Rattus norvegicus: one gene and its partner. The protein of the gene in region 1 purifies or fractionates together with the protein of each later gene. This does not show direct contact. Links are inferred from orthologs where the notes say so. Each region holds a gene or a part of one and is shown in the gene's direction. Other genes may lie near its edges. The genes, in order: Abca1 and Nr1h2.

The links.
Region 2: the proteins of Abca1 (region 1) and Nr1h2 purify together in Homo sapiens (affinity purification with western blotting; 3 studies listed by BioGRID and IntAct, with this or other methods). This does not show direct contact. The link is inferred for Rattus norvegicus from reciprocal best matches to the Homo sapiens genes ABCA1 and NR1H2.

The regions. Positions count from the first base shown.
Region 1 is NC_086023.1:72,512,960-72,516,765, reverse strand, and holds part of Abca1 (phospholipid-transporting ATPase ABCA1), read left to right. Parts: coding exon 1-12; intron 13-1,105; coding exon 1,106-1,219; intron 1,220-2,652; coding exon 2,653-2,824; intron 2,825-3,728; coding exon 3,729-3,806. UniProt on the Homo sapiens protein: Catalyzes the translocation of specific phospholipids from the cytoplasmic to the extracellular/lumenal leaflet of membrane coupled to the hydrolysis of ATP.
Region 2 is NC_086019.1:104,180,998-104,185,441, reverse strand, and holds the start of Nr1h2 (oxysterols receptor LXR-beta), read left to right. Parts: upstream 1-1,578; 5' UTR 1,579-1,718; intron 1,719-1,817; 5' UTR 1,818-1,949; intron 1,950-2,798; exon of another isoform or gene 2,799-2,801; 5' UTR 2,802-2,819; coding exon 2,820-2,859; intron 2,860-2,935; coding exon 2,936-3,049; intron 3,050-3,212; exon of another isoform or gene 3,213-3,310; coding exon 3,311-3,601; intron 3,602-3,697; coding exon 3,698-3,957; intron 3,958-4,057; coding exon 4,058-4,237; intron 4,238-4,444. UniProt on the Homo sapiens protein: Nuclear receptor that exhibits a ligand-dependent transcriptional activation activity. Binds preferentially to double-stranded oligonucleotide direct repeats having the consensus half-site sequence 5'-AGGTCA-3' and 4-nt spacing (DR-4).

The DNA.
Region 1 (3,806 bases):
CCGTCTTCCCAGGTACCCCCAGCTTCCATATTGCTTTGGCTAACTGATGGGGAAGGCAGCTTTCTGTCTGTAGGTCCTTCCTTTCTTTGTGTTGCAGTTGCTGAAGGATGAGGGAACTCCCCGGGAGTTGGCTTGGTCTTTAAGCTTGTGTAAAACAAATAGTCCAAGGAAAGGCACCTGTGTTGAAAGCACATGTGTCACTACCACTGTGCTACTAATCTCTAGAGCCTAGTGTGCCAGGTGCCGAGCAAAGTACTTTAGGGGCTCTGGTTCGGAAGGTTGCTCTGGACTGTTTCCTATTGTAAACAGTTTCTAAGAGAGAGATTTAACTGAGAATTTAAGCGACTTGCTAAGGTCATGTGTCTGTTAAGTGTCAGTGCTTGGGGATGACCTCAGCTGGGCTACACTAGGTCAGAGTCCGGCAGGTTTCTCTTAGTATTGACTGGGTTCTTAGTTCTATGTCCCCAGAAGAAGAAGCCCTAGGAGAATCTATCTACTAACTACAGGCTATAAATAATATAATGTATTGGGTCTCGGCTCTTACCCATGGCTTAAGGCAAAGTAGTATTCACCAACAGTTAATTCTGATGCTTTTCTAACCTTCACCAAGTACAGCAGGACCCCTCTTCAGGATACGTTTCTGTCTGAGAACGGATTTTAGGGAGAGTGAAGTTAGGCTCATGGCCACCCTTTGACTCTCTTCCAAGGAAGCTCATTTGTAATTTTGTTGTTGTTGTTGTTGTTTTAAACCCATATCTGAACTTCCTCCATTGACCATGCAATTTGCATGTATAGATAAAGATTCAAATTCAGAATCCTTTTTCTTTTGTGTAAGTGACCTTGGATATAGCTACTTGTCCTGCCCTTTGCTCATCTCTCAAATGAGGATGCTATTACCACCTGGGGAGTTGTTGGGAAGCCATGGAGAGGTGCAGAATATATGATTTGTACAGCAGGTTTCGGCCAAGAGTTAGCTGTCTCCCTCCAGTCCGCTCCTTCCCCATAGGGCGTGCTAAGGAGAAAGAGGGTCTGGCTAAGAAACGTCAGAACCGCTGAGATTGCGTCAGCTGGGGTCATGCCTGTGCTACCTATGCTTTGCTTTCAGGACAGTACGGAATTCCCAGGCCCTGGTATTTTCCTTGTACCAAGTCCTACTGGTTTGGGGAGGAAATTGATGAGAAGAGCCACCCTGGTTCCAGCCAGAAGGGTGCGTCAGAAAGTAAGTACTGCTGACCAGAAATATCCCCCCCCCACCCGCTGTGGAGCAGAGCCTGTGTCTAGCATTTAACATCACCCCAAAGCCACAATCGATGGGGAGAAATCCCATGCAGTAGGTCCTTTCCCAATGCACCCATGCCATTGCCATCCCACGCACCTAGTGGGAACCATATCTGTCTCCTGAGGAGAAGTTCTTTTGTCGCCCCTCTTCTAGCAAAGTATATTTTGATCAGTATACCCTTATTTCTCCATCTAGGATAATCATGCTACTCTACTAAGCCAAGAGGAATAACTACAGTTAGCCATCGTTGTGGACCTAGTTAGTTTCTCTATCTGCCTTGCTGTGGTGGTCTATCCTAGGGATTCTGTCGGTAGATACCAAGAGGCTGCTATATACCCAGCCTGGGCTTCATAATTTCCCACCCTTTCTCAAGTAGGGTGCTAATCCCCTCCTCGCTCCTGACTGCAGGTAGAGGTGCCCCAGTTCTTCCCAGGTTTTCTGTTTGTGTCTTTGTGCTCAGTGTGGCTCCCTTCTCCATTGTCAGTGGCCCGCTTTCTTCCTGTGTTGTCAGTAGATCTGCTACCTCTCTACATTGTCAAGGAGGCCTGCTTCCTCCCTGTGCTCTCAGGGTCTCTCTTCTGTGTCCTTCCCACTGGTTGCCTTTTGGTGCTCCTTAGTGTAGATAACATGCAACTTTAAAATTTTTATTTTATTTTTTTTATTTATTCCTTTTACATCACACTCACTGCCCCCTCCCTGTCACCTCTCCCCTCAATCCCTCCCCCTTCTCCTCTGAGTGCATGGGAGCATCTCTGGGTATCACCCCCACACTTAAAGTCTCTGAGAGGCTAGGTGATTCCTCTCCCACTGAGGCCAGACAAGGCAGCCCAGCTAATAGAACATATCCCACCATGTGTGTACAGGCAGCAGCTTTTGGAATAGCTCCAGTTGCTGGGGAACCACATGAAGGCCAAGTTGATTTTTTGGGAGGGAGTGGATGGATCTTTTTCTCGATTGGTATAATTCTTTTGAGATCCACTCAAATTGTGATATATTTAGTTCATTGCCATTTTTGTTTGTTTGTTTGTTTTTCCTTAATGAGTACTGTTGCATAATACGGGTATCCATGACACTTTTAGTTTATTTTAATGTTTTTCTAAAATGTCTGTTAGCATCCTGTATTTTAATTGTTTGTGCAGCCTTTCTTCATCCACAGACTAATGGTTTTTTTTTTAATAAGTCCATTTCGTTTATCAACATGAGTGTCCCAAGAGGCTTAAAATATTTCATCTCCTGTTTGTCTGCAACATTAAAGGTTGAACACAGACAGAAGCTAGTTCTAAAGGTCTAAGCATAGACGTTTGTATTTCTACACTCTATTGGCCAGGTGTGTTTCCTGCAGGATCATCTCTGTCTCCTTTCTTCTGTCACAGTCTGCATGGAAGAGGAGCCCACTCACCTGAAGCTGGGGGTATCCATTCAGAACCTGGTGAAGGTTTACCGAGATGGCATGAAGGTTGCTGTGGATGGTTTGGCGCTAAATTTTTACGAGGGCCAGATCACCTCCTTCCTGGGCCACAATGGAGCAGGGAAGACCACCACCATGTAAGAAGAGGGTGTGGCTCTCCCAAGATCTGCCACAGGAAATCCCCACTTAGAAGCATACACCTAAGGCTAAGAGCAGAGCATGATGGGAAGAAATGTGTCAATCATGAGCATGCCTTCTGAGGTCTAGATTTTGCTAGGTGTTTTTCCTTTAGTCTAAAATAGGCAGGAACCTTTTGATGAGTTTCCCCATGCAGTTCTCAGAATTCCCCAGCTTTCTTGGAATCTGAGGCTATCTGTTTCTGAACTCGTTGGTTCAGAGATTTGAAGCAAGAGACTGGAAAGAGATCAAACAAGCTAGAGGAAGACGGACACTTCTAGAAAATCTGACTTCAAGCAGATGAGAGAAGGCCTGGGTAGCTCTCTTCCTCTGCCTTCCCTGGGACCTGTGAGGACAGAGGAAGGGCCATAGAATACAGTAGTTTGCTTACAGTTTGTAGTGTGGTCCCTCTGCCATTTCTGAGGTTGATCTTTGGGGATGACCAGCTTTCTTCTTCAACATAAAACCAGTATACTATGAACATGACTGAGATACTCAGGAATTCTGTTATGCAGCACAAACATTTCTATCTTTTAACAATATGTTCTTGCTTATTCTTTTTTTTTGTACAGAATGTTAGGCATACAAAATATGTTTTAAGGAGCACACCCGTTTGCAAATTAAGAGTAACATTTTCAGTTGCTCCTAGCAAACTCCTATCTCTAAGACATAGGCTCATGCTTAGCCACTCACTAAAGCAAATGGCCTCTTTGCTCTGTGGGCATCTATTAGATTGGATTGGATTAGATTAGAAAGGAAGGGATAGAGTGTGTTGTGTGATCTGCTCTTTTTGCCCTGACTCTGCAGCACTGAATGGTAAGGCTGGGTCGTCCTGATTCTTGCATCTGTTACTCTTGTCCTCAGGTCAATACTGACTGGGTTGTTTCCCCCAACTTCTGGCACTGCCTACATCCTGGGGAAGGACATTCGATCTGAGATGAA
Region 2 (4,444 bases), on another chromosome or scaffold:
AGATTAACTAACCATGGCATGGCATTTTTAATCCCAGGACTCAAGAGGCAGAGGCAGGAGGATCTCTGAGTTGGAGGCCAACCTGGTCTACAAAGAGAGTTCTAGGATAGCTAGAATGGTGAGACCATGTCTTTGAAAAAGGTGGGGGGCGGTGTAAACCAGGTAGTGGCAGTAAGTGCTTTTAATCCTAGCACATGGGAGGCAGAGGCCTTGGCCAACTCTCTTATGAGTTGGAGGCCAGTCTGGTCTACAGAAGTAGTTCTAGGACAGCCAAGGCTACACAAAGAAACTCTGTTTCAAAAAAATATACAAGCAAAACAAAACAAAACAAAACAACAACAACAAAACCAAGACCAACAGCAACAAAAGTTAAGTAAAAGCAAGCATTTGCGCTTAATAAAGATTCTCTCAACTGTTGACAAGTCGGAGTTGGGGAGAAACAAATCTCTGAATCTTTTCCATCTGAGGTCCACACAAGTATTTCTATCTTTTGTGAAAAAGCTGGTATTATCACTTTTATGGGAGAGGGGCATAGGCTACTTGTTTATTTATATTGAGCTGATGACCTGTCTTACTACCTAGCTCAGCTTGGCCTCCAACTAAACGCAATCCTCTGGCTTTGGTCTGTTTGATTATTGCAGGCATGCAATTGCACCCAATTTGCCTTTTTATATTTACTTCTTCCTATCACGAAGCTGAATGAAAAAATAACTTCTTATATATAAAAGTTCCAGACGCAGGCACATCAAGAGAGTCCAGAGTTGGGTTGAATAAGAGCACTGACTGCTCTTCCAGAGGTCCTGAGTTCAATTCCCAGCAACTATAGCATGGCTCACAACCATCTGTAACGGAATCCGACACCCTTTTTTGATGTGTCTGAAGACAGGGAGTACTTACATAAAATGTTAGAGAGAAAGAGAGAGAGAGAGAGAGAGAGAGCGAGCGCGAGAGCGAGCGCCAGAGCCTGGACATGTAAGGAGAAGGGGAGAGAGGTGAGCCAGGGGAATAAATAAGGGTAGGCGAAAAAAGAACCCAGTATTCAAAACGACTGGATTATAGAGGGAAGGGCGGGCAGCTGGGGTAGGGCAGCACAACCTCTGAGCTGGAGAAGTTCAAGGTATGAAGAGCCCTCGTGCCTCCATTTTAAGCTTAAAATCATCCTGCAACCATCATGACATCTCCAGATTTAACCTATTTAGAACCAATATACTGGGCTGTAAGTGGATGTGCTTCTGCAACAATGGGGAGGTGGAAGCAGTTGGCTCAGAAGTTCAAGGCCACCCCTTTGAATATGAGATCCTGTCTCAAAATCAAAACCAAAATAAAAACCAACCATGCAGCACTTCTACAAACGTAGAGAACTTTAGACTAATCAAAAAGGGAAACAACTTGCTTTGTTAGTCATGTGTTTAAAGAAACAAAAGAACTTTCCGGAACTTTTTTCTGAGTCCCAGAGGGGAACTACCAGAAGAAATAAACTTCCGGTGTCCCACTTCCGGCCAAGGCATCTCATTCGGTGGCGCCTAGGCAGACCGGAAGTCTGTCACCTTTCCCGGCCCTCCTACTTCCGGAAGTGACGCGCAGCGGGGTTGCCGGAAGAAGTGGCGAAGTTACTTTTGCTTTTCGCTCAGCAAGCGCTGTTGCTCCGAGCTACTCCCAGGCTTCTGAAGTTACTTCTGAAGTGCTGTGGAGGAGCAATCACCGGTGCGGACACAGAGGCAAGTGCACCAGGCGGCAGGGCGGGTGGGGTTGGGACCGGTACGCGGATCTTTGCGGGTCCAGCTTAACGCGCGCCTCCTTCCCTTACTTTGTCGCAGCTCCCGCCTCCCACAGCCATTTCCAGGGTAACGAAGTAGGAGACCCCCTCCTGCGACCCCCTCACGATCGCCGGTGCAGTCATGAGCCCCGCCTCCCCCTGGTGCACGGAGAGGGGCGGGGCCTGGAACGAGGTGGGCGTGACTCCACGGGGCGTGGCGTAGGGGAAGCCTATGTTGGTGGGCGAGGGCGGGACGCACATGGGCGGGAGGCATGCTGTAGATAAAACCCGTGATTGAAGGCTTTCTTGATTCTTGGGGCGGGGCCTGGATTGTTGTTGAGGGGACTGGGGGAGTGGGCAGAGGCGTGGAGGGCGTGGCACAACGAAGACCTATGATTGGCTTTTGGGGAGTTGGAGGGGCGGGGCTAAATCTGGGTATCTGCCCCAGTGTGAGAAGGGGCGGGACCAGGGACCTGATAGGATGGGTAGGGTCTGGGGTCTGTATTGAGGTGGGTTAAAGCCTTGAAGAAGCCTGTGGTAGGAGGGTAATGGTTGCGACCTGATGGGAGAGGCGGGACAAAGTTAGGATCACCTATATGGTAAGAGCACAGTTGGTGCTCACCAAAGAAGAGGAATTAGAGTTGTTGGGCTCTCTTAGTGTTAGAGGGGCGGGAGTTGTCATGGGAGGTCATGAATCATAGAGAGGTGGAGGGAGCAGTGAGTGGGTTGGAGCAGAAGTGGTTGGGGATGTTCAGGGTGATGTTTATAAGGGACTAGGGCTGGCAGTGGGGGCTCAGTATAGAAGTAAAAACACTGAGGTATAGTGGCACAGTGCTGTGATGCCAGCACTTGAGAGACTGAGGCAGGAGTGTGGGGAATATCCCAAGACAGCGTAGGGTAGTGTGTTCCAGGGTTTTGGAGGTGGTTCAAGATGTTCAGCCACATAGTTCGTTTAGCCTGAGCTGCATGGGATCATGTTTCGAGAGCCCTTGAGCATTGGAAGGAGAGACACTCTGTAATTGGCTGGGTCCCCTATGTCCAGCAGGCTGCTTCGTGACCCACTATGTCTTCCCCCACAAGTTCTCTGGACACTCCCTTGCCTGGTGAGTGATGGGTTTTCCCTACCTGGCCCCTCCCACAGTGTAAGAGAAGCTCACTGTTCCCTCTTCCTTCTCCTAGGGAATGGTTCTCCCCAGCCCAGTACCTCCTCCACTTCACCCACTATTAAGGAGGAGGGACAGGAGACTGATCCACCTCCAGGCTCTGAAGGGTCCAGCTCTGCCTACATCGTGGGTGAGACAGGGAGACAGGAACAGGGGTGTGGGACGTTGTGAGGGAAGGGTGGGGAGACGGTGGCCCCTGTCTTTCGGTTCGCTTTTCCTTCCTCTTCCCCCTGACACCTCCGACTCATTCTTGGGAGCCTGCCGACCTGCAGATCTTTCCCTTGGCGTTGCAGCCCTGTCCTCTCACCCTCGCTTCGGGACTTCCCATGGCCTGTTCCCAGGCTGCTGTTTCTCTTTGTCGCTATCTCTCATGGCATCTGCTCACCCCAAGTCATCTTAGAGCCAGAGGATGAACCTGAGCGCAAGCGGAAGAAGGGTCCGGCCCCGAAGATGCTGGGCCATGAGCTGTGCCGCGTGTGCGGGGACAAGGCCTCGGGCTTCCACTACAATGTGCTCAGTTGTGAAGGCTGCAAAGGCTTCTTCCGGCGTAGCGTGGTCCATGGTGGGGCCGGGCGCTATGCCTGTCGGGGCAGCGGAACCTGCCAGATGGATGCCTTCATGCGGCGCAAGTGCCAGCTCTGCAGACTGCGCAAGTGCAAGGAGGCTGGCATGCGGGAGCAGTGTGAGTGCAGGGGCGGGGCTAGACAGAGCGTGGGTCCTCGTCACGGGGAGGAGTAAGTGAGGGTGGGTCCCACCACTGAGGCTGTCTTTCCTGCAGGCGTGCTTTCTGAGGAGCAGATTCGGAAGAAAAAGATTCAGAAGCAGCAACAGCAGCAGCCACCGCCCCCGACTGAGCCAGCATCCGGTAGCTCAGCCCGGCCTGCAGCCTCCCCTGGCACTTCGGAAGCAAGTAGCCAGGGCTCCGGGGAAGGAGAGGGCATCCAGCTGACAGCGGCTCAGGAGCTGATGATCCAACAGTTAGTTGCCGCGCAGCTGCAGTGCAACAAGCGATCTTTCTCCGACCAGCCTAAAGTCACGGTATCGCCCCGCCCGGCCCAGTGGGCAGAGCCCACCCAGGCTAGGGAGGGTTTCTTGGGGCACACGAGTTCCCACGTGACCCTGGCCTTTTGTGTCCCAGCCCTGGCCCTTGGGTGCAGACCCTCAGTCCCGAGACGCTCGTCAGCAACGCTTTGCCCACTTCACTGAGCTAGCCATCATCTCAGTCCAGGAGATCGTGGACTTCGCCAAGCAGGTGCCAGGGTTCCTGCAGCTGGGCCGGGAGGACCAGATCGCCCTCCTGAAGGCATCCACCATCGAGGTACTAATAACGAGAACTAGGCTCTAGGACAGAGGTCAGAGCTGCATGTAGTCCAGGGACATCCTAACCCTCGTGGGGTGTGGCCATCTGGAGCCTCCAGTGAGCCAGCCACGGGGGGAAAGGGAAGTGAGCTGAGGTGGGAGTAATGGAGACTATGGGATGGACTGTCAAAGAGGAAATACGCCCCAGAGACTTGAAGGGAATGGA